Linked DNA regions of Notamacropus eugenii. The protein of the gene in region 1 binds, or shares a complex with, the protein of each later gene. Links are inferred from orthologs where the notes say so. Each region holds a gene or a part of one and is shown in the gene's direction. Other genes may lie near its edges. The genes, in order: SNIP1, SNRNP40, CRIPT and SNRPF.

Evidence for each region.
Region 2: SNIP1 (region 1) and SNRNP40 share a complex: the UniProt entries of both Homo sapiens proteins name them as parts of the minor spliceosome. The link is inferred for Notamacropus eugenii from reciprocal best matches to the Homo sapiens genes SNIP1 and SNRNP40.
Region 3: SNIP1 (region 1) and CRIPT share a complex: the UniProt entries of both Homo sapiens proteins name them as parts of the minor spliceosome. The link is inferred for Notamacropus eugenii from reciprocal best matches to the Homo sapiens genes SNIP1 and CRIPT.
Region 4: SNIP1 (region 1) and SNRPF share a complex: the UniProt entries of both Homo sapiens proteins name them as parts of the minor spliceosome. The link is inferred for Notamacropus eugenii from reciprocal best matches to the Homo sapiens genes SNIP1 and SNRPF.

The regions. Positions count from the first base shown.
Region 1 is NC_092876.1:81,740,952-81,748,059, forward strand, and holds the start of SNIP1 (smad nuclear-interacting protein 1), read left to right. Parts: upstream 1-4,097; 5' UTR 4,098-4,178; coding exon 4,179-4,483; intron 4,484-6,536; coding exon 6,537-6,639; intron 6,640-7,108. Other genes in the region: DNALI1 (axonemal dynein light intermediate polypeptide 1), read right to left, coding at 859-1,007, 1,702-1,782. UniProt on the Homo sapiens protein: Required for pre-mRNA splicing as component of the spliceosome. As a component of the minor spliceosome, involved in the splicing of U12-type introns in pre-mRNAs. Down-regulates NF-kappa-B signaling by competing with RELA for CREBBP/EP300 binding.
Region 2 is NC_092876.1:72,718,433-72,725,297, reverse strand, and holds the start of SNRNP40 (U5 small nuclear ribonucleoprotein 40 kDa protein), read left to right. Parts: upstream 1-3,861; 5' UTR 3,862-4,136; coding exon 4,137-4,289; intron 4,290-6,865. UniProt on the Homo sapiens protein: Required for pre-mRNA splicing as component of the activated spliceosome. Component of the U5 small nuclear ribonucleoprotein (snRNP) complex and the U4/U6-U5 tri-snRNP complex, building blocks of the spliceosome.
Region 3 is NC_092872.1:662,290,719-662,298,465, reverse strand, and holds the start of CRIPT (cysteine-rich PDZ-binding protein), read left to right. Parts: upstream 1-4,740; 5' UTR 4,741-4,793; coding exon 4,794-4,839; intron 4,840-7,747. UniProt on the Homo sapiens protein: As a component of the minor spliceosome, involved in the splicing of U12-type introns in pre-mRNAs. Involved in the cytoskeletal anchoring of DLG4 in excitatory synapses.
Region 4 is NC_092874.1:278,476,798-278,484,771, forward strand, and holds the start of SNRPF (small nuclear ribonucleoprotein F), read left to right. Parts: upstream 1-4,956; 5' UTR 4,957-5,173; coding exon 5,174-5,176; intron 5,177-6,649; coding exon 6,650-6,775; intron 6,776-7,974. UniProt on the Homo sapiens protein: Plays a role in pre-mRNA splicing as a core component of the spliceosomal U1, U2, U4 and U5 small nuclear ribonucleoproteins (snRNPs), the building blocks of the spliceosome.

The DNA.
Region 1 (7,108 bases):
CAGTATCCCCATATGTAAAAATGAAATGGTTAAAGTTGGATGGTTTTGCAGTCCCTTCCAGTTCTTGTATTCTATGATTCCATCAGGATAACAGCCAGGATAAAAAGATGACACATTAGGCACATGAAGGATCCTGACCTACATGGTGACCCTTGTGTGCTAAGGCTAATGAATCTTAGACTAGTCTCTGGACTCAAGTTCTATGTTAGTAGTAGGATTAAATAATATTTAAGGTCCCTTCCAGCCTGCAATGAGGAATCTATTGGGATCATAGATGGATTATAGAGGACCCTGGTGTGAGGAGACTCAGACCCTTGGGTTCTAGAGCTAAGTGACCTTGGAGAGGAAAAAAAGATCCTAGTATCTTTGGGACTTAGAATTCCTGTGCCTCTCCCCACTCTTCACCCTTCTGTGAGTATAAAGCTGGTTCCTATCTGTTTGTATCATATAGCACTGGTCTCTAGAGTCAAAAGATCTAGGGTTGAAACCAGGCACTCCAACTCACAACCTGGCTCTGTTTCCTCATCTATAAAATATGACAGGGAAGGGGAAGGGGACTAGTGACCTCTAAGGTCCCTCACAGCACCAAGATCCTGGGACCTGGGGGGAGGGGGAGAAGAAGAGACTGTGGGACTCTCTCTAGGACTGTTGGCTGGTCTGACCACAAGGAACCAATATCAATACTTCAAGGGTTAATTATTTCATGAGTGTGGCTATTCCCTTGACATCTTAGTAGAGTTGCTATGACCAAAAATCTCATTGTCTTGCAGCTAAACACAGGATAAGCCTTTGCTAACTTGGCCAAGCCAGTCCATCCCAAGACTTTCCAGCTTGTTGATTATCCCTTGATCTTTTTACCTGGGAGGCAAGATGGAGTTCAGGATCTCTTCAGCCTGCTTGGTGGGGTCTGAGGCAGCAGAAGTAGAAGGGATAGCCTTGCTCTTGGGTGGCTGTGGAACTGGCCCTGTAGCCAATGGCTGCTGTGGGCTGACCTTCAGGGGACGGGCCTAGAAAAGAGGTGACAGAGAAGTTCAGTGAGCTGGTCCTCAGAACTGGCCTTGGGGCAGCCATGGCCCTAGTTCTTTTCCTGTATCCTTTCATTTCCTTCTTCCCACTTTATTTCTCCCTTTCTACCCTCCTATCTTCCTCTGCTATCTCTTCTCATGATATCCCTCTTCTCCTCCTTCCCTCTCCCATGCATCTACCCTCACCTTTTCTTTCCTTCCTCTCTCCTCATCCTACCATCATCTTTTTTCCTTTGTCTATATCCATGTCTGTGGTCCCTCCTTTTGTCCAATTTTCTCCCACCCTCCTTACTTCCTTTTCATTTTTTCCTCTTCCATCCCTCCCACATTCTCTTCCTTCCTCTTTGCTCCTCCCTCCTATAGTACCTTTCCTCTCTTTGCTTCTCCCACTGTCTTTTTTCCTCTTAATCTTCTTCCCTTCCCTCACTCCTCCCAACCACATCTTCCTTTCTCCTTCCCATTCCTCTTCTTGCTTCTCCCATCCTTTCTCTCCTCCTGTTTTACTCTTTCTACTTTCACCTCCTTTTCACTCCTCCCATTATTTCTTTCACTCTCCCTCTCCTCTCTCCTTCCACTTTCATCTTCCTCTTTCTTTCCCTGTTCCCTTCCACACTCTCATCACTTCTCCTCCCGCCCTCCCTCCCTGCAGTCCCCATTTCCAGGCCCTGGATTCTACCTTGGGGCTCCGCTTCTCTGTGTTCCGGCTCACTAACACCGGGGTATCATACTTGAGCAGAGAATCAACTGGAGGAATCATGGTGGCTGCTGCAGCAGTGGCTCCGCAGCCTTGTTTACTGTCACCATGGAAACCGAGGCCCCACCCCCTGTCCCTACCACTCGAGCCCAGCAGCTTGAACCTAGTGGTGGAGGCGGAGCTAGCAGTGGGGCGTGGCCATCGGAGAGCTGTGGGATTGGCTGGCGCCCCACCAGCTCTAAGGTCTTAGCTCAGGTCTGCTGAAAAGAATGCTGGCCTAGGCCCTCCCCAGGAGCCATCAGATGGAACTTCATTTCTGTCACTTGGTTAGCTGTGTGGCCGTGGGCAGGTGATTCTGGGGCACAGAGGATGCTTCTAAGAAAAGTACCCTGTAGAATTTACGAGTGCTATAGAAGTGAGAGCTCTCAATTACCACAGTCTCCTTTACGTTATTCGGCAGGCATTCTTAACTCTGGGTCTGTGAACTTGTTTATTGAACATTTTGATAACTGCATTTCAGTATAATTGCTTTTCTTTATACGCCTGTGTGTTTCATTTCAGGTGGCTGGTGGTACGATGCATAGAGTTAGAAAGACTTGAGTTCCAATCCGTCTCTGACGCTTACTGGCTGTGTGATCTTGGACAAGCCATGTGACTTGTCTGGCCTCAGTTTCTTCATCTGTAAAATGGGGATATTAATTACCTCCCAGGATGGTGGTGAAGAGCAAATGAGATACTTGTAAAACAAATTTGTTAACCTTAAAATGCCATATAAATGCACTATTAATACTTTAAAACATAGACTTTACTTTGTTAAAGGAGTCCTACACACACACACACACACAAATTAAGAACCTCTCTAAGTATCTTCTCCTGTCCTGTTGGAGGCCAAGGCAGGGGACAGAGACCTGGGTTTGAAATTTGCCTAAGACACTTGCTGGTCCACCCTGGACAAGTCACTTCTTATTCATTTACAAATGAAAACTGGTTTTTTTTTCTGTTGCTCTTTTGGAGTTTAATTTGACATGAAATTTCATTTATTTCACATACACACACACACATAAAACCATATATTCCAATGGTTCAGACAGACAACCCTTCCGCAACTTCTGCAGACTTCGAGAGCTGCCTGGGGCACTGAGAGGACTTGCCCAGCGTCCTACCTCCGTTATGTGTGACATTCCATCTTCCCGACCCAAACAAAGGCTGGCCCTTTATTCCACCTGGCTGCTTCTCCCCTTATGACCACCAGAGCTCTTCATCTTCCTTCAGCACTGAACTTCGCAGGACTCAGCCCCCAGTCAGCGCTTAATAAGTGCTCGGGCAATAAAGGAACGAGTCCGGGGCCACGCCTCACCCACGGGAGCCTGTGCCCTCCCTCCATGCCTTCCCCCTGCAGCCTGCTTCTCGTTTACCACTGACAGAAGCGCTGCCATTTCTTGTCATTTGTGGTGCAGCCAAAGTTCCCACGGAGAGACCCTCGGGTGGATTTCTCTGATGTCATGGTCTTCTTCCAAAACGAAGGACGAACCCTGACAGGGTGGATGCTGGCAAGTGAAGACAAAGGTCCCTCCGGGGAGAGAAGGGAGCTTTACCCTGGACGTCCTAGGAAGCAGGCACGGCTTGTTTCGCGGCTCCAGGCAGGACAGTCTAAAAGACCGGAGGTCAGAGGACTGACCGCCCCTGAGGGTGCGAGGCCCCGGTCACGGGTGGGACTCCGTGGTGCCCAAGCCTCCTTCCTCCCTCCTCTCCTCTCTCCTCCCTGGTGTTCACTGAGCACCAGTAGCAGAAGCAGGCCCCGGTGCACACCGGCCTAAAGAAAGGCAAATAAAAGCCTTGGTCCTCTGAGCGCGCTCTGTAGGGGGCAGACCCCGACCCTGCTCGCTCCCTGTCTCCTCGGCCTCTATTCTGACGCCGTCGCCTCCCTTTCCCCAGCAATACGGGGGCGCCACTCTGAACAAGGGCACGTGGGTTCGAATCCTGACTCCTCCGCTCGGAGCCGCGCGACCGTGAGCTGTGACCCGGAATCCGTCCTCCGACCTTACGGGCCGTCACCTTTGCCAGCCCGTTTCCTCCTGTGGAACGTGGGGCGGTGACAGCGCCCGCCTGGGGAGGGTCCGACGAGGGTCTTTGGGGGGTCCGCATCAATCGCGGCTGTTGCAGCCCCGGGGAGAGGTCGAGTGGGCGTGGTGAGGGAGAGGAGGGGGCGGGGACAGGCCAACGGAACTTTTTGTTGGATGGGTGGTTGTTTTGGGGGTGAGGCTTCCCCAGACTTCTCTCGCCTCTTTCGAGAGCGCGATTTTCAGCAGCGCCCGCCAGGGGGTGCGATCACAACGTGACCGCCAGCGGCCCGACTTCCGTTTGGCTGCCGGAAGAAGAATCGAAGCTGCCCCGGAAACGGAAGCGCGGGGTACGCGCTCGGGCCGTCGCTGAGGAGCCCACTGGCCCGGGCCGCGAGGATGAAGGAGGCGAAGCCCGAGCGGGAGCGGAGGCAGCGGAGGCGGCGCCGGCGGCGGCCGGAGGCCGAGGACGAGCCGGCGGCAGCGGCGGGGGACGACGTGCTGGTGCCGGATCTGTCGCTGGTGAAGCAGGAGCGGCGCAGCCCGACCCCCGCGTCCCGCTCGCACCGGCCACGGGCCCGGGCCCGGCGCGGCTCCTCGGGAAGTCCGAGCCCGGCGCCGGACGAGGAGGCGCCGCTGCCGCCCCCGGCCCCGCGAGCCCGCGGCGCTCGTGCCTCCGGCGACCGCGCCGGCAGCTGCAGCAGGTACGAGCCCAGCGCCCCGTCCCCCGGAGGGACGCTGGGTGGTGGCGGCGGTGCCTCCCGCCGCGGGGGTGGGGGTGGGGGATAGGGCCCAGCCCCCTGCTGACTCTGCTTCGTGATCCCCAGAGGCTCTTCCTCGTCGAGCCCCCAGCCAGTCCTGCCTCTTGTAGCAAGTCTTCCCTTAGCCCCTTTCCCAGCTGCGCACACACTCGGGTCCTTTGTAGGACCCTTCCTGCGCCCCTGCTGCCCGTCTGGTAGCTGTGGTGTTGTAGGGACCTGGGTTCTAATCCTCGCCCCGCCATTTACTAGCCTTGGCTGAGGCGAATTCTTTTTCTGGCTCTCGGTTTTCGCATTTGTAAAATAAAAATCCGAGTGCTTGCATCGGTTCTGTTTTTGTCGCTCAGTTGCGTTGGAAGCTTCGTGACTTCCTTGGCGGAGACGCTGGAGGGGTTTTCCTTTTCCTTCTCCAACTCTGCCGATGAGGACACCACTAGGAAGTGTCCGAGGCCGGAGCTGAACTCCCAGATGAGTCCAACGGGCCTTCTCCCCACTTGGACACCTAGCTGCCACGTTAATTGTTAGAGTTATTTTGTGGGTCAGTGGAGATGACGTTCGTAAAGGACTCTCTGGATGTGAGTGATGACTTATAACTGTTCGCTCCCATTATTTTTTGGTCTCAGAATACAGAACTGGACATTGTTGGATTTAATTCAGCGTTTAGGGTTGTTGTGAGGATAGGAATTCGTAGACTGTACAGTATAACTGTAATCTGCTGTTGTTATTCTTACCTTTACCCCCAAGATTTTATACCACTGGTTTTCATCTTTACAGCCCTTTCACTACTAACCTACAGCCTTCACCCCAGTGTTTTGTTAAGATTCTGTGGTTTCCTTGGTATGCGTACCTCTTCTTTTAATACAAGTTGAAGCGTTCCTCCACAATTTAATAGGTGGTTTTTATGAATCGTTGTGGTCAGTCACTTGGCCAGCCTTCTGGTAATGAACCTCTTCAAATTTATCTAGACTGGTCTTCAAGCATCAGACACACAGTCTTATCACCAATGCTGAACTTGAATCCCTTCCAACTAAATACTTTCAGTATAGCCTTCAAAAACTCAGGGCCACGTTCACCCCTGAGGGAAGCATTGGAGATTTCAGTAAAGCAGAGTAATGAGGCTGAGGGGATGGCGTGAGGTAAAGGTTACCAGTAAACTCTTCCTTGAGTTGAGATCTAGTTAAATCCTGAAGGGACCATTCATTTCAGTTAAGTGAAGATGAAGCTATAAAGAAATAAGACACGGTACATGAGGGGATCAGGTTGATAGTGATGAGGGAGGGTCTTAATGAAGAGGTGGCATCTGAGTTGGACCTTGAAGGAAAGAGAGGAAGTTGCAGACAAGTCATAGTCCAGGTATTTAGTCTAACTTAATTTTATAGATGAGGAAATTGAGAGTTCAAGGACTTGCTAATTGCAAAGTATCTTCTGCACCATGAAATCATAGGGGTTTGAGAATTAATTTCATTGCCCTATGTGATTGCTATCTTGCCTCTATCCCACCATTTTTTTGGAGAAGCAGTGTAATATAGTGGGAAAAGCACTGAGTTTAGGATAAGAATATCTTTGTTCAGAGTCCTGGCTCCAGCATTCTGTGACTCTTCTAGGCCGGACCAGCATTGTCTAAGCCCTTTTGAGCTTCAGTTTTATCTGCCAAGTGGGGATAATCATACTATTTGGTTCATGGGGCTGCCACAGAGACAATTTTATAAAATGTATACTGCTGTAGAAATGTGAATTATTCTGATCATACACTAAATGGCAGATCTAAGACAATAATTTGGATCTCCTAATCTGAAGACAGCTTTTGCTACCGTGTGTAGACCTTTTTTCCTTGTGTCCATTTACCAATGCTTGCAAAGTTTTAGTCTTCAACAAACCTATGATAACTCATAGCAGATTAGGCAGGAGATGTCAAAAACTTTTTTCTTTGTGTGAGGGAAATTGGGGTAGAGGTTCAAAGCTTATCCACCAATTCCTATGTGTGTTGTGTTTTCTAAAGATCACCAACCAAAAGGAAAAACAAGTCCTTTGGGAGAAGAAGCAGATCTCCTCGGAGTAAGAGAAGCCGTAGCCCTCACCATTCTGTAGTCAAGGTGAAGCAGGTAATTGCAATTGACACAACTCATTCCCCTAAGTTCTGATCTAAGAATTTCTTCCTACTAGTGTTAGAATATGGACTTTCTTCTTCAATTGGGAAGTGAGCCCCAAGGTTACAGCATTACTTTTATGGACAGAAAAGGGCAGGATATAGACTGGTTTTCACTAAAAGAACTAGTTACTTGAAGAGCTTAGAACATAAATACATATACTATCATCTTTAAGGTTCAGAGCAAGAGTTGGGAGACCCTGGCCATTGCTTGTATTCCATGGCAGGTATTCCATGATGTGCTGTTGGTTCTACTTCTTGGAGAATAAATTATCTTTGGGCAGCTGGTTGTATCTTTCCCTGAGTGGAGCCACTGTCTACATGCTGTAACTCTCTGTCATCTAATTCTTAAATGCACCTCTCATTTCATGAACAGCTTATTACTGTTAGTCTTTGAGGCTTTCAGAAGGTAACTTTAAAAAAAA
Region 2 (6,865 bases), about 9.0 Mb from region 1:
CAGTGGATAGAGCACCAGTGCAGGAGTCAGGAGGACATGAGTTCAAATCTCACCTCACACACTTGACACTTAGAAGCTGTGTGACATTGGGCAAGTCACCTAACCCCAACTGCCTCATCCTGGGTCATCTCCAGTCATTCTGATGAATATCTGGTCACTGAATTCAGATGGCTCAGGAGGAGAAGTAAGGCTGGTGACCTGCACAGCCCTCCCTCCCTCAAAACAAAGTCAAGTGCAAGTCATGTCATTATTTCTCTGATGGTATGGTCTTCTTCGACAGTGAAGGACGAACACACATTTGTCCCACATAGTAAATGTGAGGACCCAATGATAAAATGGACAGAAAAAGTTCTTTGGAAACTTTCCAGCATAATATCAATGTTCTCCTCCCCACCCCCAGCTCATACAAGGCTGAGCACAGAACAAACTCATGAGAGTAAGGCTTCAACACTTTAAGGAGTGGTGGTTTTTACAACTCCTATGTGAATTAGCTACCTTTGATGAATTGCTCTACCTTAAAAAGATCATCACCTAGAGGCCAGCCTCCTCTTAATGAGCTGCTAAAGTACACAGTACACCCACAGTGAAAATCTGAAGCCTCCCCAGCTTGCTATACCCTGGGTCAGAACTTTGGCCATGTTGCTGGTGTTAGAACCTCAGAATTACAAGGAAACACCAGAAGAAGACGGAGTGCAATAACAATTACTCTTGTACAACTCTACAATTTATGCAGCTCTTTACAGCTTGAGAGGCAGAGTAGTCAGTGTGTGTCCTTACTAGCTGTCTGACCCTGGGGATGCCATTCACCTCTGTCTGCCTCACCTTCCTCACCTGTAAAGTGAGTACCCAAAATAGTGATCTTACAGAGTTGTTGTGACTAAAGTGTCACAGAAACATGATTTTCTGCTTTGATAAAAGTACCTTCCTATGAGAGGCAGCTTTAATGAGCTAAACCAGAAGTGGGGAATCACCCAAGTTCAAATTCCACCTTGAACATTTATTAGCTATGTGACATGGCACACTGGGGAAAAAAAATAGCCTCAGGAGTCAAAAGCACTGGATTCAAATTCCAGCTACAAAATGACTACGTGACATTGGACAAATCACTTGACTTCTCTGAGACTCAATTTTCCTCATCTGTAAAAAGAAAGTCTTGGACTTAAAGCCATTTTAAGGTAAGGCCTAAATCTATACTAGCATAAATGCATACATATAACCTATACACATGGTAAACAGGCAAGAGACGGAAGGCACTAGGGATTGGCGAAGGCTCCCTGTTCACAGTTGGATTTTACCCAGGACTTGAAGGAAGATGGGGATGCCAGGGGGCAAAGGTGAGGAGAGAAAGCAATCCAGATATGGTAGATGGCCAGAAAAATCAATCAATTAATGAGTAAATATTTATTAAGTGCCTACTATGTGCCAGGTAGTATGCTAAGCATTAGGGATACCAGAAAACGCAAAAGACAGTCTCTGCCTACTATCAGTGGAGTTTCCATATGGAGAGACACCCACACCAATAGAATCACAGGGCAGCTGCAAAAGCCTTGTCTCAATTGTCAGAGTTCTCTTATTTTACTATAGGGGGAGCAGGGTACAAGATGTACATAGATCAATAAATATAGAGTAATTGGGAACTGGGAAGATTGGGGAAGATCTCATGGAGGAGGTGATTCCTGAGCTGGACCTTGAAGGAATCTAAGGTTACTGAGAGGCAAAGATAGAGAGGAAGGGTATTCATTCTAGGGGAGCAGGATAGTTTGTACAAAGGGGGCAGAGGGCAGGGATGGAAGGGCACATTGGGAAACTTCCAGGAGTCCAGTTTGGTTGCAGGGGGAGAGGGGAAGAAACTGCAAGAAGAAACTTGAGGCTGCATGTGGCCCTCTAGGTCCTCAAGTGCGGCCCTTTGACTGCCAAACTTGACAGAACTAATCTCATTAATAAAAGGATTTGTTCAGTAAAACCTGGACTCAGCCAAAAGGTGGCACCAGAGGACCTAGAAGTCGATGTGGTCTCGAGGCCCACAGGTTCCCCACCCCTGAGTTAGAACATAAATTTCCAGAATGAGGGGAAAGGGAGCATAATTGTATATAGTTGTTTGCATGCTGTCTCCTCATTTGGATTGTTTTGCAGCAATTTGGATTTCTTAAGGGCAGGGACTGTCTTTTGCATCTTCTTGTATCTCTAGTGCTTAGCATAGTACCTGGAACATAGTAGGTGCTTAATAAATGTTTACCGATTGACTGATTTCTCTAGCTGCCTACCATGTCTGGAATGCTTTCTCTCTCCTCATCTCTCTTCTGGCTTCCCCTTCTTCCTTCAAGTCCCGGGTAAAATCCAGCTGTGTACAGGAAGTCTTCCCCAATCCCTAATGCCTTTCCATCTCTTGATTATTTTTTATTTATTTTGCATATTAGGTTATTTGTATATATTTACTTGAAGGTTGTCTCCCTCATTAGATTGTGAGCTCATGAGGGCAGCGATTTTCTTTTGCCTTTTTCTGAATTCACAATGATTAGCCCAGTGCCTGGTATATAGTAGATACTTAATAAATGCTTATCAAATGAATGACTGTCTGCCCCCCAAAAAACCAAATGTATTGAAATAAAAGTTGCCAGACTATTAAAAACAAAAAACAAGTTCATGGAATAGAGGGATGAATTGGGGTGGGTTGAGAGGTGAAGCAGGCAGACCTTCCAGCCCCTATTGCAATAGTCCAGGGATATGGCAGTGATAGGGGCCAGAAGGGGCATATCCCACATATGCTGCAAAGATGGGAGGGGTAAGAGTTAGTGAGCAGTTCAGGATGATTGTTAGGACGGTGCTGTCTTCCTCTACAGTAAAAGAGGGATGGTGTGTGAAGGGAGGGAGCTTTAGGGAGAAGACAACGAGTTCAATCTACTCACTAGTTGTGTGACTCTCGACTTGACCTCTGTCTACCTCAGTTTCCTCAACTGTCAAATTCCCCTGCACAGCTGTGAAGACCCAATGAAATAACACTTGTAACGGGCATGGCACAGTGCCTGGCGCTCAATAAATACTTCCTTCTTTCCTCCCTTTCTTCCTTTATAAGTTTGCGTATTTTCTTTTGTGCATTTAAGAAGACGATTCAGCGGAGTCCCCAGACTGACTGTCAAAGTGGTCCAGCACACAAACAAGGTCCGGAATCCTTCCATTCGAGAGGCAATAGGGCTGGACGATTATTTTAGAGTGTGACAGGCGTACTCGGGGTCCAACCTGTGCTCTGGAAATGTCACTTTTGCAGCTGGGTGGAGGATGGACTGGGGGGGGGGGGGGTCTTGGGACAGAGCAACTGTAATATAGGAGAGGGAGCCCGGGGTTCTGTCCACTGAACCTCGCAGGTATCCTCTTCTCCAAAGCAGGAGAATGGAAGCTCCTCACTGACAGGGACTGGAATTCTCAGAGCCCGGCACACAGCAGGCGCTTAATAAATGCTTGTTGCCTGACTGTGGTCCTCAACAGAGAGCATCACAAGTCTCCTACGGCGGGGAAGATGGCAAGCCAGTCTAATCAGAGAGGGCAAACACAGAGTCCTGGGCTCGAGATCCCCGCCCGCCCGCCAGCCCACAGGCCCGGAGAGGCCCCCAAGACGGCCCACCACACTCACTCACTCAGCAGCCTCCAAGGTACAGGATCTAAGAGGATGCCGCCATGAAGCGCTCGGAGCGCAGCCAATCGTAGGCCTCCGTTCCCCACAGCCAATCCGTTAGCCACCGCCCATCAGCCACCGCGCGTTCAGGAAACCTTCCCACCGAACGCAATGACCAATCGGAGACTGATTCTCGCGGTGACAGCCCGTCTTCTGACCCAATAAGAAGAAGCAAGGAAAGTTAACAAAAGAGTCTGCACAGGAAGTTTGTTCGTGTCCCTCCCTCACACATAGCAGCCAATCACAGTCCTATATTTTTCTTGAAGGCCTCGCCCTCTATCCAATAAGAAGGGATGAGAAGGAATGAATTACTCTACCCTTGCTCTAGAACACACACAGGAAATTGATTGGTCCGGCCTAGGACGGAAGTTCCTGGGTGGGCGGGGACAATCTTAGCCAATGGGAGCCGGGCCGTAAACCCCGGCGCGGCCTGTGGACTGAGCAGCGCGGACGGCTTGAGGCGGCCATGATCGAGCAGCACAAGCGGAAGGGTCCGGAGCTGCCGCTCGTTCCCCTCAAGCGGCCCCGTCATGAACTACTGTTGGGAGCGGCGGGGCCGGGGACCGGGGCCGGGCCTGCTGCGGGGCAGCAGCCTCCGCCGGGGGCCCTGCTACAAGCGGTATGTGACCTAGCGAGCTAACGAGTCCTGTCAGCTCCCGTCTCCCCTTCGCCCCCTCGTCTTCCTGCTCCTCCGCTCCCCTCTTCCTCTTCCCTTTCCTTCCCCCTCTCCGTCCCCCTCCTCATCCTTCTCGGACTGTCAGGGACCTCGGAGAGACCTTCAGAGAGCCCAGCCTCCTCACCTTAAAGAGAGGGAGGGAAACTGAGGCTGGGGGAGGTTCTGGACTCAGACTTTTTCTGAGCCCGACCCTCCCTTTACAGATCGTGAACGCGGGTCCCAAAGAGGTCCTAGACCTAGGGTGACGGTCCCGCACCCCCTTCGGGGGACATCTTTCCGAGGCTGCCCATCTCAAACCCTCAGCTCTCAAAGCTGGGACAGTTATCAAAGTTAGGATTTGTGTTGTCGTTGTATTGAGATGAAATTTGTAATATCTTTCCAATTGATTCTGCTTGGGGGTGGGGAGGAACAAGCATTAAAAATCGTTTCTGTGTGATAGCCCCTTCGCTATTTGAAAGCCTCCACTGGCTTCTTCTCTCTTGCTACTAAGGAAAACTGGAAAAAAAATCCCCAAATCGTGCTTCTTGGGTCCGCTGCGATATATGCTACGTGACCTCAGTTGGCCTGCAGTGCTAGGAGACGATCCTTTTATACCTCCCTAAATGACTCACCATCCCACTTTCCCTGGGGGCTCTTCAAAATCTTTTCATCCTTTCTTAAATTTCTCTTGGTATCCCTTCCCCAGTTCTCTCGGCTAAATGGCTTCTTATTTTGCGGAAAAAGCTAAGAGTATTCTCTCTGAGCTCTCTCTTTTCCCCTCCTCGTTTCCTGTCACTCATATCTATCTCTTCCTTCATCCCTGGCTCACGTAGTGAAGTGGCCCTTTTCCTTGCCTCCTCCTGCACCTGTGATCCCATTCTGTCCTGTCTCCTCCAGGTGGTTGCTCCTTCCATCCTTACCTCTCACGATCTTCAACCTCTTTCTCTTTATTGTCTGCTTTCTTGCTGACTGCAAACATGCTCTCCCATCCTCAAAAAACCCTCACTTGATCCTTTCTAGCTGTTCTTCTCTGTCTTTTCTCCTGTTTTGAAAAGGCTGTCTACAATAGGTGCTTCTACTTCTTTCCTCTCACTTTAACTCTCTAGTCTGTTTTCAGAACTCATCACTCAACCGAAACCTCTCTCTCCAATTACTAATGATCTTTCAGTTACCAAATTCAGTGATTGCCTTTTCTCAGTCCTCATCCTTCCTGCCCTCTCTTCAACCCTTGATACTGTCAATCACGCTCTTCTCTTTTGTACTCTCTTCTCTCTTGGTTTTTGGAACAGCACTCTCTCCTACTTCTTTTCTACCTTCTCTCCCAGTTCTCCTCCTCCCTTCTGACTGCTCTATCTCAGTCTCCTTTCCTGCATTCTCTTCCAGGTCATGCTCACTATCTGGGAGTGTCCCATAGGATTTTTGTCTTTGACCTTCTTCACTTTCCCCCTTTACACAGTTCACTTAGTGATCTCATTAGCTTCTGTGGATTTATTTATCATTTCTTTGCTGGCAGTTTTCAGATCTACCTATTCTGCCCTTATCTCTGCTGAGCTCCAACTGTCAGGTCTCTTGTAATATCTCTCACATGTACCCATTTCTCTCCTCTGATATTGCTAATACACTGGTACAGGTCTCCATCATCTCAAGACTGGACTATTGCAATAATCTCCAGATCGGTCTTCCTGTCTCTCCCCACTCCAGTCCATTGCAGCTAAAGTGGTCTTCCTGAAGTGCAGGCCTCACCATAACATCTCCATTTAGTAAACTACAATGGCTCCCTATTATCCTGAGGATTGAATAAAATCCTGTTTCAAATTCAAAGCCTTCATAACCTAGCACTGCATGCCTCTCCGCCCCATTCCCTTTCTAGTTTTCTTATGTTTTGTACAACCCTCCAGTGACACTGGCCTCCTGACTCTTCCTCAAACAAGAACATTTCCTGACCTTGGGCATTTTCACTGCTTGTTCTCCCCATGCCTGGAATGCTCCCCCTCCTGAGCTCTACCTTATGGCTTTAAGTCTCAGCTAGAATCCCAACTTCTACAGAAAGCCTTTCCCAACCTCCCTCAATTCTAGGGCTTTCCTTCTGTTGATTATGTCCTACTTATCCTGTACAAAGCTTGTTTGTAGATAACTTTTTGCTTGTGGTCTCCCTCATTAAAGTGGGATTTCCTTGAAAGCAGGGACTATCTTTTATCTTTGAATCCCCTTCAATTATCACAGTGCCCAGCACCTAGTAGGCACTTAATAAGTGTTTATTGACTGACTGAAAAAGATCTTATAATCATAAATTTTAGCGATTAAAAGGACCTTAGACGCTTTCTGGTCCAGTCCTGTAATTTTTAAAGGGACAAGCTGAGGTCCAGAGTGTGGAATTGTGAGTATGAAGGAACCAGGCCTCAACCCTCAGTACTACCTTGTTGTCTATGGACAAAAGGAGACAGAATTGTGCTGGGTGCTTAATGTTTGTACGACCCTTTTAACTTACGGGCATATGATTTAGAGCTAGGAAGAACCTGAGATATGGCCCAGGCCACCTC
Region 3 (7,747 bases), on another chromosome or scaffold:
AGCATTACATCTCCTGCCCACACCCTTCCATTCCACCTCTACAGCTATTCTTGACACCAGAGAGGTCAAACTCAGAATTAAAATCAGATTAAAATGTAGGGAAATGTTTAACATAATACAATACAATATAGAAAATGTGAGTTTGTGATTTTCTATGATAGCCAGGGATCTTTTTCCTTTCTGAGTTTGACATCACTTTTGGCCACTGCCTACTATTATGCCTTTGCTTTGGCTGTTCCTATCTCTGGAATGCTCTTCCTGGATTCAAGGTTACCTTCAGTTCTTAGGGCTTTGGCTTCTAAGGTTAATTTAGAATTATTCTGTCTGTATCTTGTTTTTTATTTACTTGTCTCCCTCATTAGAATGTAAGCTCCTTGAGGGGAGAGGCTGTTTTTATTTTTGCTTCTTTTTGGTATTCTTAATGTTAAGGACAGGGTCTCACACCTAAGTGCTCAATCAATGCTCAATTGAGGGGCAAATTTATTATATTACAAGTCTAGAATTGATACCTGTTTTGTGAAAAATCAAAAAAGGTCCTGTGATAGTAGTAAATATTTATTAAGTGCCTACTATATGCAAGGCACTGAGCACATCCATTTTCATTTTGGTCACGTACCACAGACAAAAGGTGCTTACTTGCAAAGGAACTGATTGAACCATTTTGGAGAGCAATTTGGAACTATGCCCAAAGGGCTATAAAAATGTGTGCACTCTTTGACCCAGCAATACCACTTCTAGGTCTGTATCCCAAAGAGATCATACAAATAGGAAAGGAACCTACATGTACAAAAATATTTACAGCAGCTCTTTTTGTGGTGGCTATGAACTGGAAATTGAGAGGATGCCCATCAATTGAGGAATGACTGAACAAGTTGTGGTATATAGATGTAATGGAATACTATTGTGCTATCAGAAATAATGAACAGGTGGACTTCAGAAAAACCTGGAAAGACTTATAGGAACTGATTCTGAGTGAGGGGAGCAGAACCAGGAGAACATTGTATACAGTTACAGCTACACTGATCAATGACTAACTTTGAAAGACTTGGCTCTTCTCAGCAATGCAAGGTTCTAAGACAACTCCAAAAGGTTCAAGATGGAAAATGCTACCCACATAAAAAGAAGTATGGAGACTGAATGCAGATCGAAACAGTATTTGCTCTTTTTTGTTTTGCTTCTTTCTTGTGGTTCATTTCGTGGCTTATAATTCCTCTTTGCAACATAACTAGTGTGAAAATGTTTTAATGTAATGTATATATACAGCCTATATCAGACTGCACGCCATCGTAGGGAGAGGGGAGAGGAAAAAGAGGGAGAAAATTGGGAACTCAAAAGCTTGTGGAATTGAATGTTTTAAACTAGTAAATAAATTTTTTTAAAAAGAGGTTAAAAAAAAAAGAAATTCATCCACCTGTAGCACTGGCCCCTGCTAGAATCAAAGCTATGCATTGTGGAACCCCTTAAAAATATAATTTCTGCCATTTCTTTTTTACCATGTCTTACCTCGACTAACACTCCAATACTACACTATCTTATTTACACCTCCTGTCAAATACTAAGTGACATTATACGGACTTTCATAGCAAAGCACTAGCCTGGTATCACCTAGAATGATTAATCATACTATTCTGAACCAAGGAACACCAACTTCGAACAAGCATTAATTAAGTACCTACATGGCAAGCACTTTGCTAAGCACTAGGAATACCAAGAAAGACAAAAACTGTCTCTGCCTTCAAGAATCCCAAGGGAGAGACAACAAACACCTAACTATGCACAAAAAATACCTATACGGGATAAACTGAAGATAATCTCAAAGAAAAAGCAACAGCATGAAGAGAGAAAGGCAAAGGCTTCTTGCAGAAAGTAGAACTTTAGTCGAGCCTCAAAGGAAGCCAGAGAATCCAAGGAGGCTCTTAGGGGGGAGAGAATTCTAGCTATGTGCCCATGCACAGAGCCAGAAAGACTGAGAGATAGATTGTCCCTAGATGCCAATCATACTTAGTTTGAGGCTAAAAAAAGCCTCTATTATTATTAAAAAATAATAATAGCTAACATTAATAGTTTGCAGAGCGCTTTACAAATTTTATCTATTCTTCTCCACAATAACTCTAGAAGGGAAATAGTTATCTCCGTTTTAGAGAGGAGAAAACAGGCCCAGGTTTAGTGACGTGCACACAGCTAACAAACGTTGAGCCCAAACGTGAATCCACGTCTTTCAGACTCCAGGTATAGCATTCCATACACTGTGCTACCTAGCTGTCTCCGATCTATTACCGTGGCTCCAGGTAAAGCCAAGCACCTGAAAGGGGACGGCGCAGACGGAGGAGCCAAGCGTCACAGGAAGAGGACTGACTACACGCAGCCAGAGGGCTTTTCGACGGCCGGCTCAGGGACCTTAGACTTAAAACTTCCCATCTTCGGTCCTCGCTCTTCTCGTCTACCGACCAGAGGGGCTGGTCTAGAGACGATCTCTTACGATCCCACAGGAGCCAGGAGAAACCAGGAAAAGTTTCTCACAAATCTCATTCCCCTCGGAAAGAGAACATTCTGCCGAAGGAAACGCGCCCCTCGCGGACCGGGTAGGCGGGCACGTCGCTTTACCTGTCCAGGGCCTCTAGTAAAAGAGGGCTGGAGGAGTGACCTCCAAGGTGAATTCTGGCTCGGGGCCCCTTCGGCGTCCCAGAGGTGGGAGGGCAGCGGAAGCAGTGAGAGGCACACCGGAGGAGAGAAGGGCAGGAAGCGGGGCCACTCCACCGCAGAGCCCGGGGCTCCGAGGAGGGACGTGGGGGGGCGGGGAAGCAGGACCTGCCGGAGCAAGGCCCAAGCGGAGAGGGGCGTGGTGACCCCCAGGCTTCTCCGTTCGATCTTACCTGAGCCTCGGGCCTGAGCAGAAGTGGGTGGGAGGTAAAGCTCCCGCCCTCTCGGCTCTCAGGTGCGACTGGTTGTCTCGCATTACGCGCAGGCGCACACACACGTGCGCACGTGAGTTCTTCCTCACTCAATGGCTGGGAAGCTCCAGCAGCCAATCGGAGAGGGAGAAAGGCCGGAAAGAGGAGACAAGCCCCGCCCTCTTTCCTCCACCAGCGCTCCAGGTGTGGGGGAGGTGAATTAGTAAGGCGGAAAGAAATCCCTTATGACCCGGAAGGAGGTTCCCGGCCGGAGGATTGTTTACATTTAGAAGAATCCCGCGCCTTTGGGAAGGTAGTTAAACCGACTTGATCCCTCTAACAGGATGGTTTGCGAGAAATGTGAGTGAGGGTACCTATCGCTCCGGGGGATGGGGATGGGGGCAGAGGAGAAAGAGGGGACAAAGATGAATGCGCGACCCCTGGCCCAAACTCCCGAGGCTCCCTGTGCTTCTCAGCCTCAGGGGGTCTGGTCCCTGCCCTGACCGCCCTCCCTTCAGCTAGTCCTCTGCCTCTCCTTTCCGACATCGCCAAAGCCTCTCCCGGTGCTTCTCGCCCATTCCCCTCCGTTTCCACCCTGTTCCCCCGCTTGAGGCCCGAGCCGATTGTCGCGTCTCAACAGGCGTCGCGTCTCTACCCTGCTCCCTAAATCCCCCCTGCTGCCCTTATCTTTGGTCACGAGCCTGCTCCCCAGGGCCCACGGCAGCAGGACCGTGTGAGCCCTGCGTGTGTGTATGTGTGTATGTATATGTACACGTTAATCAGTAGGACCCTACATTTGGTCATATCCCCAATATTGCAGAGAAGAAAACTGAGGCCCACATCGTTAATTGGTGCAAGACCCGAAAAGTGATAAGTGATAGAACAGGGATTTAAAGAAAGGTTTTCTGACTTGAAATTCACGGAGGGGGGGGAAGGGTTTCCCCTTCTCCAACTGCATAAAATCAACTGGATCCTCTATCCTCTATCCACATTCATGTTCAGTGAGTGCTATTTCCATCATAGCTTGCAGTCTCTGTAGTCCAGATTTGAACGTTCCTGAGCCCAAAAATATGCCTTTGTCATAACTAAGTTTCACCCACCCAATTCTCTCTGTCAAATCCTGCCTATCTTTCAAGGTCTAGTTTAATTCCACCCAGGTATGTAGGCCCACCATGGTCTTTACATATCTCTAATATCCAAAAGAACAGTATGATTCTAACACTCATTTGATTTTAATCACTCTTTGTAATTAATATGTGTGTGTGTATCGTTTCTTTAAGGAGATTACAAACCCCTTAAGAAGAGGGACTTGGTTTCATTTTTTATCCTCCACGTTATACCCATTGTAGGAAGGTAATCAGTCTCTCCATAAGTACTTGTAAAACATCTTCTATGTGTCAGGCAATCTGCTAAAACGTTGGGAATACAAAGAAGGGCAAAAGACTATCCTTTCTCTCAAGTAGCTCAACAGGTAAAACTGTATATAAACAAGTTATATACAGGATAAAGAGATAATCAACAGGCAGCTAGCATTCATCAGCCTTCAAGGGATCAGGAAAGGCTGGAATTTTAGGTGGATTTTTAGCCAGGACTTGGAAAGAAGCCAGAAGTCAGAAATGAGGAGGGAGAGCTTGGAGGATAGCCACTGAAAATGCACAGTCTGGAGACGGAGTGTCTTGTATGAGGAAGTGCCTGGAGGCCAGTGTCACTGAATCACAGAGTAGAGGGTGAATAAGTCAGAAGACTGAAAAGGTAGGAAGGGGCCATTTTGTGAAGAGCTTTGAATACTAAAGTATTTTATATTTGACCCTGGAGGTCATAGAAACTACTGGGGTTTATTGAATGGTAGATGAAATGGTCAGACCTGCCTTTTAGACAGATAATTTTTCAGCTGAATGGAGAATGAACTGGAGTGTGAAGAAACCAGTGGGCTATTATAGTACTCCAGGTATGAGAACCTGCGTCAGGGTGGTGGCAGTGTCAGAGAAAAGAAGAAAATATGTTTGAGCAATGTTACAAAGATGAAATCAATTGTACTTGGCAACAGATTGGGTATTGGGGGAGAGTGGAAGTGAGGAGCTTAGGACTACATCTAGGTTTGTGAGCCTGGGGAACTGAGAAGTGCCATTAATAGTAATAGGAATTAATGTAATTAATTATTTTTTAATAGTAATAGGAAAATTAGAAAGAGGGAAAGATGAATTCAGTTTTGGACATGTTCAGTTTAAGATATCTATAAGACATCCGCTTTGAGATGTCTAATAAGCAGTTGGAGATTCTAAAGTCTAAAGCATTTGGAGGTCAGGAGAGAAGTTAGTGCTGGGAAAGTAGATCTGAGAATCATTAGCATAGAAATGACGGTAATTGTATCCGGGAGATTGAGTAAGATCACCAGGTGAAAAATAGGATAGGGGAATAAGAGAAGAGGGTCCAGGACAGAGCCCAAGACAACCCATTACATTTTTGGCTATCTCCAATTTTGGGATTTTATTTTTTCCTTCCATGGAATCCAAATTTGCTTTGTTCATCAGCGTCTGAGCAGAAACTAAGGCAGCAGATAATGGGAATGATCCAAGGCCAAAGCTAACAGGCCATGATCAGCAGCGTGATCAGAGCCAGGGACTCAGTTGAAGTGGACAGTGTAGAGTTGAACTGGTTCACCAAGAGGTCACGATGAGAAAGAAAGGAGAATGCAGCTAGTGCAGGAGTGGTGGCCAGGGAAAGAACTGAAGGCTTAAGGAATTGGAGGTCACAATTTGGATGAAGAACAGGATAGAGAGAGAGGGAGAATGACAGTAGATTGTGATCAGATAAGGAAATTTCAAGAGGTCGTTACCATGGAGGTAATACATTGTCGGTGAAGGCAAGGGCAAGGTTATGGCTTCTTTGTGTATGGCTGAGGTGGGGTGGTGGAATAGGTCATATAAAATGAGTAAATTAAATGAGTTGGGTTTATTTTTCAGATCTGTGCGTAAGAGAGGTAATATTTTATTTTTTTCCAATTCCATTTAAAGATAGTTTGCAACATTCATTTTTTTAATAAGATTTTAAGTTCCAGATTTTTCCCCTCTCTCCCCATGACAGTAAACAATCTGGTATGGGTTATACATTGTACAATCATGCTAAACATATTTCCATATTAGACATGTTGTAAAAGAAGAATCCATACAAAAGGGGAAAACCGCAAGAAAGAAAAACAAAAATAAGTGAAAATAGTAAATGCTTCAATCTGCATTCAGACTCCATAGTTCTTTCTCTGGATATAGATAACATTTTCCTTCATCAATCTTTTGGAATTGTCTTGGATCATTGTATTGATGAGAAGAGCTAAGCTAGTCATAGTTGATCATCACACAATGTTGCTGTTACTGTATGCAATGTTCTCCTGGCTCTGCTCACTTGACTTAGCATCAGTTTATGTAAGTCTTTCCAGGTTTTTGTGAAATCTGTTTTCTCATCATTTCTTATAGCACAATCCATTACATTCATAGTCAGCCAATTGATGGACATCTCCTCAATTTCTAATTCTTTGTAACCACAAAAAGAGCTGCAATAAATATTTTTGTAAATGTAAGTCCTTTTCCCTTTTTTATGATCTCTTTAGGATATAGATCTCATAGTGGTAATTGCTTTATCAAAGGGTATTCACAGTTTTATAGCCCTTTGGGCATAGAGGAACTGTGAATTTAAGGTGTTTAAGAGAGTATCAGTGTGTATGTTGAAGTCCTAGTATGAGGGAAAGAGTTGGGGAGGAGAGAACAATTGTGATCTTATTGTGAACTCATTGAGGAAAGAGGGGGAGTGTACTGGAGGCAGAAAGTTAACAGCTATTCAGCAATACCACTTCTAGGTCTGTATTCCAAAGATATCGTGAAAATAAGAAAAGGACCCTCATATACAAAAATATTTATAGCAGCTCCTTTTATGGTGGCAAAGAGTTGGAAACTGAGAGAAATGCCCATCAGTTGGGGAATGGCTGAACAAGTTGTGGTATATGAATGTAATGGAATACTGTTGTGCTGTAAGAAGAGATGAGCAGGCAGACTTCAGAATCCACATTGCGGCTTTCACAGACTTAGCTCTTCTCACCAATGCAAGGATCTAAGACAGCTTCATAAGACTCATGATGGAAAATGCTGCTCATATCTAAAGAAAGAACTATGGAGTACAAATGCAGATTGAAACATACTGTCTGCTCTTTTTTGTTGTTGTTTTGTTTGGCTTCTTTCTTGTGTTTCTCCCATTGGTTCTAATTCTTCTTTACGATATGACTAATGTGAAATTTTCACTAATATGAAAATAGGTTTAATATGAATGTATATAAAGATTGCATGCCATCTTGGAGAGTGAGGAGGGAGGGAAGGGGAGAAAATTTAAAACTCAGAATTTTATGGAAGTAAATATTGAAAAATAAAAATAAAAATTTTTTTGAAGTTAAAAAAAGAAGGATAACAGCTACTAGAATTTTTATTGGGTGGTGGAAAGGGATTCAGTGAATGTTAAAGGAAGAGAGACTACTGCATAGTGATGGTAGCAGGAAAACTTGAAATTGGCACTCTGAAGCAAGGAATATTCAACTTCCCCATCTCAGTGTGGGGAGGGGGAAAGAGGGGGGGAAATGGAGGAAATGGGTGAAAGTGGAAAGGTAGGCTGTAGTCAGAGGGATCCAGTTCTCAATAAGAGCCAGAACATGGAAGAAGTGGGAAAGACAAAGATTTAAGATGAAAGCAGGTTTGTTACCTATGGAGCAGGCATTCCAGACAACACAATGGAAGGGGTAGGTAGCATTAGAGTGAGACACTGGGGGCTTTTCGTGGAGGAGAATAGTACTAATTTATCAGTACCAGATGCAGAAT
Region 4 (7,974 bases), on another chromosome or scaffold:
ATTCCATTGGTTATAATTCTTTACAATATGACTGTGAAAATGTTTCATATGAATGTACGTGTAGAACCTATATCAGATTGCACACTGTCATGGGGAGAGGAAATGGGAGAGGAGGGAGAAAAAATTTAAAACTCAAAAGTTGTGGAATTGAATGTTTAAAAATAAAAATAAAAAAAGATTTATGTCAATATAAAAAAATCAGCCAGCCTTTCCTAATTCCCCTAGGTGTTAGTATTCTCTCTCCCTAATCAAACTGTTGTACATTCAACAGTCAGCTTCTGAGTTTTATTTTGTCTTTGTATGCTCAAGGTCTAGCAATCCCTAACAAAGAGGAGGCACTTGATAATTGTTGACCTGAATTAACTGAATATGGAGTAGTGAAGATTCTTGGATTTGTAGTCATAATATCTAAGTGCAAATCTTGGCTTTCCCATTTATTACCTGTATGAACCTGGGCAAGACAATTCCTTTCCCTGGGCCTGTTTCCTCAACTGTAAAATCAATTGATAAGAATTCTAGTGTTAACTGTGTCAAGCACTGGGGGTACAAACTAAGGTGGAAAAAAAAATCTCTGTATATTTTGAATGGTGGGGGAGGAACAACATCCATATAAAACATGTATATATATATATATATATATATATAAGTTATAGAGTAAATGAAGGGTAATCTTAGATGGGTAAGGGGGAGATGGTAAAATCCCCTAGGGATTTTAAGAGATGGAATTAGAGACAGAAAGCATTCAAGGCATGAAGGATAGTTAGTGGATCACACTGAAAACCTTGTTTTGCTTTGCCCCATTCCTACCTTTCCAGTCTTCTTACACCTTACTCCTTTCTACAAATTAGATCCCCATGACACTCCACCTGTCTCAAGCAATTCCACTGTTTGCTCCCACCTGCTCCCCCCCTCCCCATGCCTGGAATTCATCCTACCTTCTTCTCCAACTCTTGGCTTCCCCAACTTCCTTCAATTCCCTGCTAAAATCCCACCTATTTTCAAGAAACCTTTCCCTATCCTCCTTAATACTAGTGTCTTCTCTCTGTTGATGATATCCAACGTATTCCACATCCATCTTTGTACAGTTGTTTTTATGTTGTCTGCCCTACTAGGCTGTCAGATCCTTGATAAGAGGAACTGCTTTTTGCCTAGCCCAAGCACCTGCCACATAGCATGTGCTTAAGGAATGCCTGCTCTGCTGACTCCATCTATCAAGTATCATTGTACAGCATACGGACTGAAGTAAAAGAGTTAGGGGCGGTCAGACTACTAAGAGCCTAAAACGCCACAGATTATACAGAATATTCCAAATGTCTGTTTTGCAGTTTTAAGCTATCAAAGCTTAAGTTTTAATTTCAAGGAGATCCGCTCCTGGATGTAATAGGGAGCTTAAGGAAGGGTTAAGTGGTGAGGTAGGATGACAAGCTAGGCCTCACCCAGCCTCAGACGCTTACTACGCAAGTCACTTAACCTGTTTGCCTCAATTTTCTCCTCTGTAAAACGGGGAAAATAATGTTTTGGAGGGTTGTTGTGAGAATTCACTAATTTGGGTTTACAATTCAATAAATTATATTTCAACATAATCAAGCCAAATAATATTCCCAACATACTATCCGACATAGATATACTGCAATTACGTATTTGGAAACATGACAGCGAAGGGCAGGCTGGTCTAGATTCTCCTCCAAGCTATGCTTCTCCAATCACCGACGAAGGGGCAGCAGGATGGGAGCCTCGATTTACATTCGGCCGTGTCCTCCGGGCCCCAACCTCCCATGTATATACGTGTATATACACACATATACACATGTATACACACATATACACGCATATATACACATATACATACATGTATACACATGTATACACACATACATATATACACATATACACACGTGCATACACATATACATACATATATACACATGTACATACATGTATACACATTGTATACACATATACATACATATATACACATATACACACATGTATACACATATACATACATATACACATGTACATACATGTATACACATTGTATACACATATACATACACATATACACATGTACACACATATACATACATATATACACATGTACATACATGTATACACATTGTATACACACATACATACATATATACACATGTACACATACGCATACACATACATATATACACATGTACATACATATATACACATGTACATACATGTATACACATTGTATACACATATACATACATATATACACATGTACACATACACATACATATACACACATGTACATACATGTATACACAGAGTATACACATATACATACATATATACACATGTACACACATGTATACACATATACATACATATATACACATGTACATACATGTATACACAGTGTATACACATATACATACATATATACACATGTACATACATGTATACGCATTGTATACACATATACATACATATATACGCATGTACACACATGTATACACATATACATACACATATACACATGTACACACATATACATACATATATACACATGTACATACATGTACACACAGTGTATACATATATACATACATATATACGCATGTACACACATATACATACATATATACACATGTACATACATGTACACACAGTGTGCACACATATACATGCATATACACGCATGTACACGCATGTATACACATATACATACATATATACACATGTACATACATGTACACACAGTGTATACACATATACATACATATATACGCATGTACATACATGTACACACAGTGTGCACACATATACATGCATATACACGCATGTACACGCATGTATGCACATATACATACATATATACACATGTACATACATGTACACACAGTGTATACACATATACATACATATATACGCATGTACATACATGTACACACAGTGTATACACATATACATACATATATACGCATGTACATACATGTACACACAGTGTATACACATATACACATATATACGCATGTACACACATGTATACACATATACATACATATATACACATGTACATACATGTACACACAGTGTACACACATATATACGCATGTACACACATGTATACACATATACATATATACACATGTACATACATGTACACACAGTGTATACACATACACATACATATATACGCATGTACACACATGTATACACATATACATACATTATATACACATGTACATACATGTACACACAGTGTGTACACATATACATACATATATATGCATGTACACACATGTATACACATATACATACATGTATACGCATGTACATACATGTACACACAGTGTACACACATATATACGCATGTACGCACATGTATACACATATACATACATATATACACATGTACATACATGTACACACAGTGTATACACATATACATACATATATACGCATGTACACACATGTATACACATATACATACATACACATGTACATACATGTACACACAGTGTGCACACATATACATGCATATACACGCATGTACACGCATGTATACACATATACATACATATATACACATGTACATACATGTACACACAGTGTATACACATATACATACATATATACGCATGTACATACATGTACACACAGTGTATACACATATACATACATATATACGCATGTACACACATATACATACATATATACACATGTACATACATGTACACACAGTGTACACATATATACGCATGTATACACATATACATACATATATACACATGTGCACACATGTATACACATATACATACATATATACACATGTACATACATGTACACACAGTGTATACACATATACACGCATGTACACACATGTATACACATATACATACATATACACACATGTACATACATGTACACACAGTGTACACACATATATACGCATGTACACACATGTATACACATATACATACATATATACACATGTACATACATGTACACACAGTGTACACACATATATACGCATGTACACACATGTATACACATATACATACATTATATACACATGTACATACATGTACACACAGTGTGTACACATATACATACATATATACGCATGTACACACATGTATACACATATACATACATGTATACGCATGTACATACATGTACACACAGTGTACACACATATATACGCATGTACGCACATGTATACACATATACATACATATATACACATGTACATACATGTACACACAGTGTATACACATATACATACATATATACGCATGTACACACATGTATACACATATACATACATACACATGTACATACATGTACACACAGTGTATACACATATACATACATATACACGCATGTACACACATGTATACACATATACATACATGTATACACATGTACATACTTGTATACACATTGTATACACATATACATACATATATACACATATACACACATGTATACACATGTGTAGATATACGTATATATATATATTTGAGATTAGGAAATGAGGCTCCGGGACCCGAGGCGACTTGCCCCGGCCGAGCAGGGCCTTCCCGGCCACGCGTCCCGTGCTCCCGAGGGGCACCCTACAACCTCGCGGAGACGGAAGGAGCGAAGCCAGGCCCCCGGGGGAGGCGAACGAGGCCCCGGGGTCGCGATACCTACAGCCGCCACCCCCCTCCTCCGGGGAGGCCGCTTCTGGCGCACTGTCCCGTCAGCAGAGGCAGCGTCCGGTCAGGATTAGGGAACAAGAACACGCTCAAGGGCAAAGAAATAACTGAGGCACTTTGGGGAAAAAGGTTTTTTAAAATCTCCGACTGTTGGACGCGTGCGGCGCAGGCGCGGGAGGAGTCCGCATGCGCACTGAGCAACCCCGGCACGAGCCTCTCCTGCTCGGCTCCGCCCCGCCCCGCCTCCAAGCCCCACCCACCTGCTTCCGTCCAATCCGAGAGGCCCGGGAGGAGGAGAGCGGGGGAGGAGAGCTATGACAAGGAAGCCGGGGTGAGGGGTGAAAGTTCACCTTCCCGGCTGGCGGCCATTTCCCTGCCTTCCGTACGCTTGCCGGCTAGAGGGAGGCGGAGGTAGGGGCGGCGGTGGCTCGCTTCACGTGGGCGCAGGAGAACCGGCGGCGGCGGACGGCCCGTGGCGCTCTTCGGTGGTGACGATGGTAAGGGGGCGGCGGCAGCGGCGGCGGCAGCGGCGGGAGCCGTGGCGGCCTGGTAGCGGCGTGAAGAGCGTCCGCACGGGTTCTCGCTTCCCGCCTTGCCCATTCATTTGCTGTGGGGGGCGGGAGCGGCCTGGCTCGTCCCTTTCTTCCCTGTCCCCCCCCACCTCCGGTCTCGCGAGAGGAGCGGCTCGCGAGCCTGCTATTTTTCCCTCCTACATTCCCCCTCGACCCCAGTTGGTTTCGCCCGAGTCCTGCGCTTTAAAGCCTCCTGGAAGGGGCCATTTAAAGGGGGGCGGGGGGAAAGGAGGCGGGGCCAGAAGGGAACTTTCCGTGGACTCCTAGAACTTAAGCCAGGGGGAGAGAGCTTGGAGCCGCGGGGCTGCGGCCGTCTGGGCCCACCTCCTCACTTTACAGCCCGGGAAACTGAGGCCTTGGGCAAACTTCCCTGGTCGGATGGGCCAACCCCTTTACAGCCGGGGAAACTGAGGCCCCAGAAACACAGCCCTAGGCACAGGTTGGGATCCAGAAGGGGCCTCAGAGGCCGTCTGTGATACAGGTTCACTGCTGTTATATTTAATAATAATAATCGAAGATCAGGGAATCACTCTGGTCAGCTCCTGGCTCCAATTTGTGCCCCCTTTAAACTCCGAGTTATCCTCTTATAGCTCCTGAGCCTCAGTTTCCCTCACCTGCCAAAAAAAGGCACCTTTTTCCTCTTTTTTCTGTAGTTTGGCCATCTTATTATATTTTATTATAATTATCGTATTTTATATACATAATTATTTTATATACGTATAATGATTATTATATTTTATTATTTCCCTTCCCCCAAAAAAAGTAAACGTATCTGAGTTTTCCTTCACCAGTGGCTTCCAGCAGTGCCTTGTGGTGGGGAGGTGACTGTTGGTTATCATAGTGTAGGAGAAATAGCTTTGGCCTTAGAGATGCAGGGTTCAAGTCCCTGCTCCGTCCCAGTGTTAGCTGGGGGCACTTGGGCCAGCGTTTAAGTGCCAGCTCCAGACCAGGTGCCGGTGCCAAGCACTGGGGATACAAAGAGGCCAAAGACAGTGCTTCCCCTCAAACGTGCCACCTGGGCTTTGATTTCCTCCTTTTAGAAGGAGGAGGGGTGGACTTTACTCTTTCTAAAGCTTCTAACTCCCATTCTGGGGGCTTGGTAGAGAAGGAGGAATCTGGAACTGTTGAATAAACGAATGTGAATTTATCTATTTCATCCCATCTCTGTGAATCAAAAATGAAAGAGGTTAACCATAGCAGGACTCAATAGTTTGGGTACTAGGAAAGGCTGAATGTAATATAGGGTGATTTAGGAAAGTACGAGGAGTGGGCTCTGGGCTTCTCTGTCAAGTAAGAATATTGGACTAAATGAACCCTCATGTTCCTTCCCTTACTTGAGATCCTGTGAAAGCTCCATCTTGACTAATGTCTTGCCTTTATCACCTCATCTCTGTACAGAGTTTACCCCTCAACCCCAAACCATTCCTGAATGGACTGACAGGGAAGCCAGTGATGGTGAAGCTTAAGTGGGGAATGGAGTATAAAGGTTACCTGGTGTCTGTGGATGGCTACATGAACATGCAGGTAAGCTAAACTCGAGTGGGGTGGGCCTCACTTTACTTGCTTTCTGAGACTTGGAGCCTTGTCCAGGATTTCAGTGAAAAGTCATGTCCTTTTAATAATTGATACCTTAATTCCTCTCCTAAGCTTCAGGCTTCGGAGTCTTAATTTACTTGAAGTAAAGAGGGCAACTAGGTGGTGCAGTGGAGTGAAGCCAGGAGCCAGGAAGACCCAAGTTCAAATTCAGTCTCAGACACTTACTAGTTGTGTGACCCTGGGAAAGTCATTTAACCCTATTTGCCTCAAGTTTCCTCATCTGCAAAATGAAGTGGAGGAGGAAATGGCAAACCACTCCAGTATCTTTGCTAAGAAAACCCCAAATGGGGTCATGGAAGAGTCAGACACAACTGAAAGGAATGAACAACCACAATTGAGAGGAGCCAGCTTGTGGTATAACATTTGCCAGGTATGTTGGTAGTAAAGTCACTCTATATGCCCTCTCACTGCCCTTTGGATTGATTACTTAATACTTAGGATTTTCGGTGATCTAAATGGTCCTTGATTCACAATCATTTAGCATTTGTTTTTAAATAGACAAGCAACTAATAATGTTAAAAGACTTTACTTCTTAAGAGGAAAATAAAAGATTATTGTCAGGAAAACTGGAATTCAGAATTTGAATGTATTGTAGAGAATTTAACCGTGCTTTGTGTGCTTTGCAGTTTAAATAAATGTGTTGATGTAATACTGAAGAATGTAACTGGAGATGGACTTATAACCATTTCTTCAGAGTATTATTTTAGTAAAACAATTGAAATTAGCTTTTTAAGAAAGTATGTTTTTCTTAAATGAGATAGAATAAATCTATCTTTGATTAAATTTTCTTTGAGGAAAAATTTATTTTCTGCATTTAAAAATATTTTTTCTGAGAAAAGCCCCATCCATAGGCTTCATCATAAGCTCCCTACCCCCTCCTCGATATCTACATTACATAGTTATCACTTGGTCTCCATCCTTCAGAAGATGAGCCTCTTTGAATTAGGTGAGGCTTGTGCTCCAGCTGCTGTCACAAAGGTCACTTCCACCTCGGTAGGACCTGCCAGCATGTGCATTCTACTCATAACTTTGTAGAGCCATGTCATGAGACATCAGAGTAGGATTTTACTGGTGGGTTTAGAAATAATAAAAAAGCAAATGTTAGGCTGTTTTTCTTGCCTCTGTCA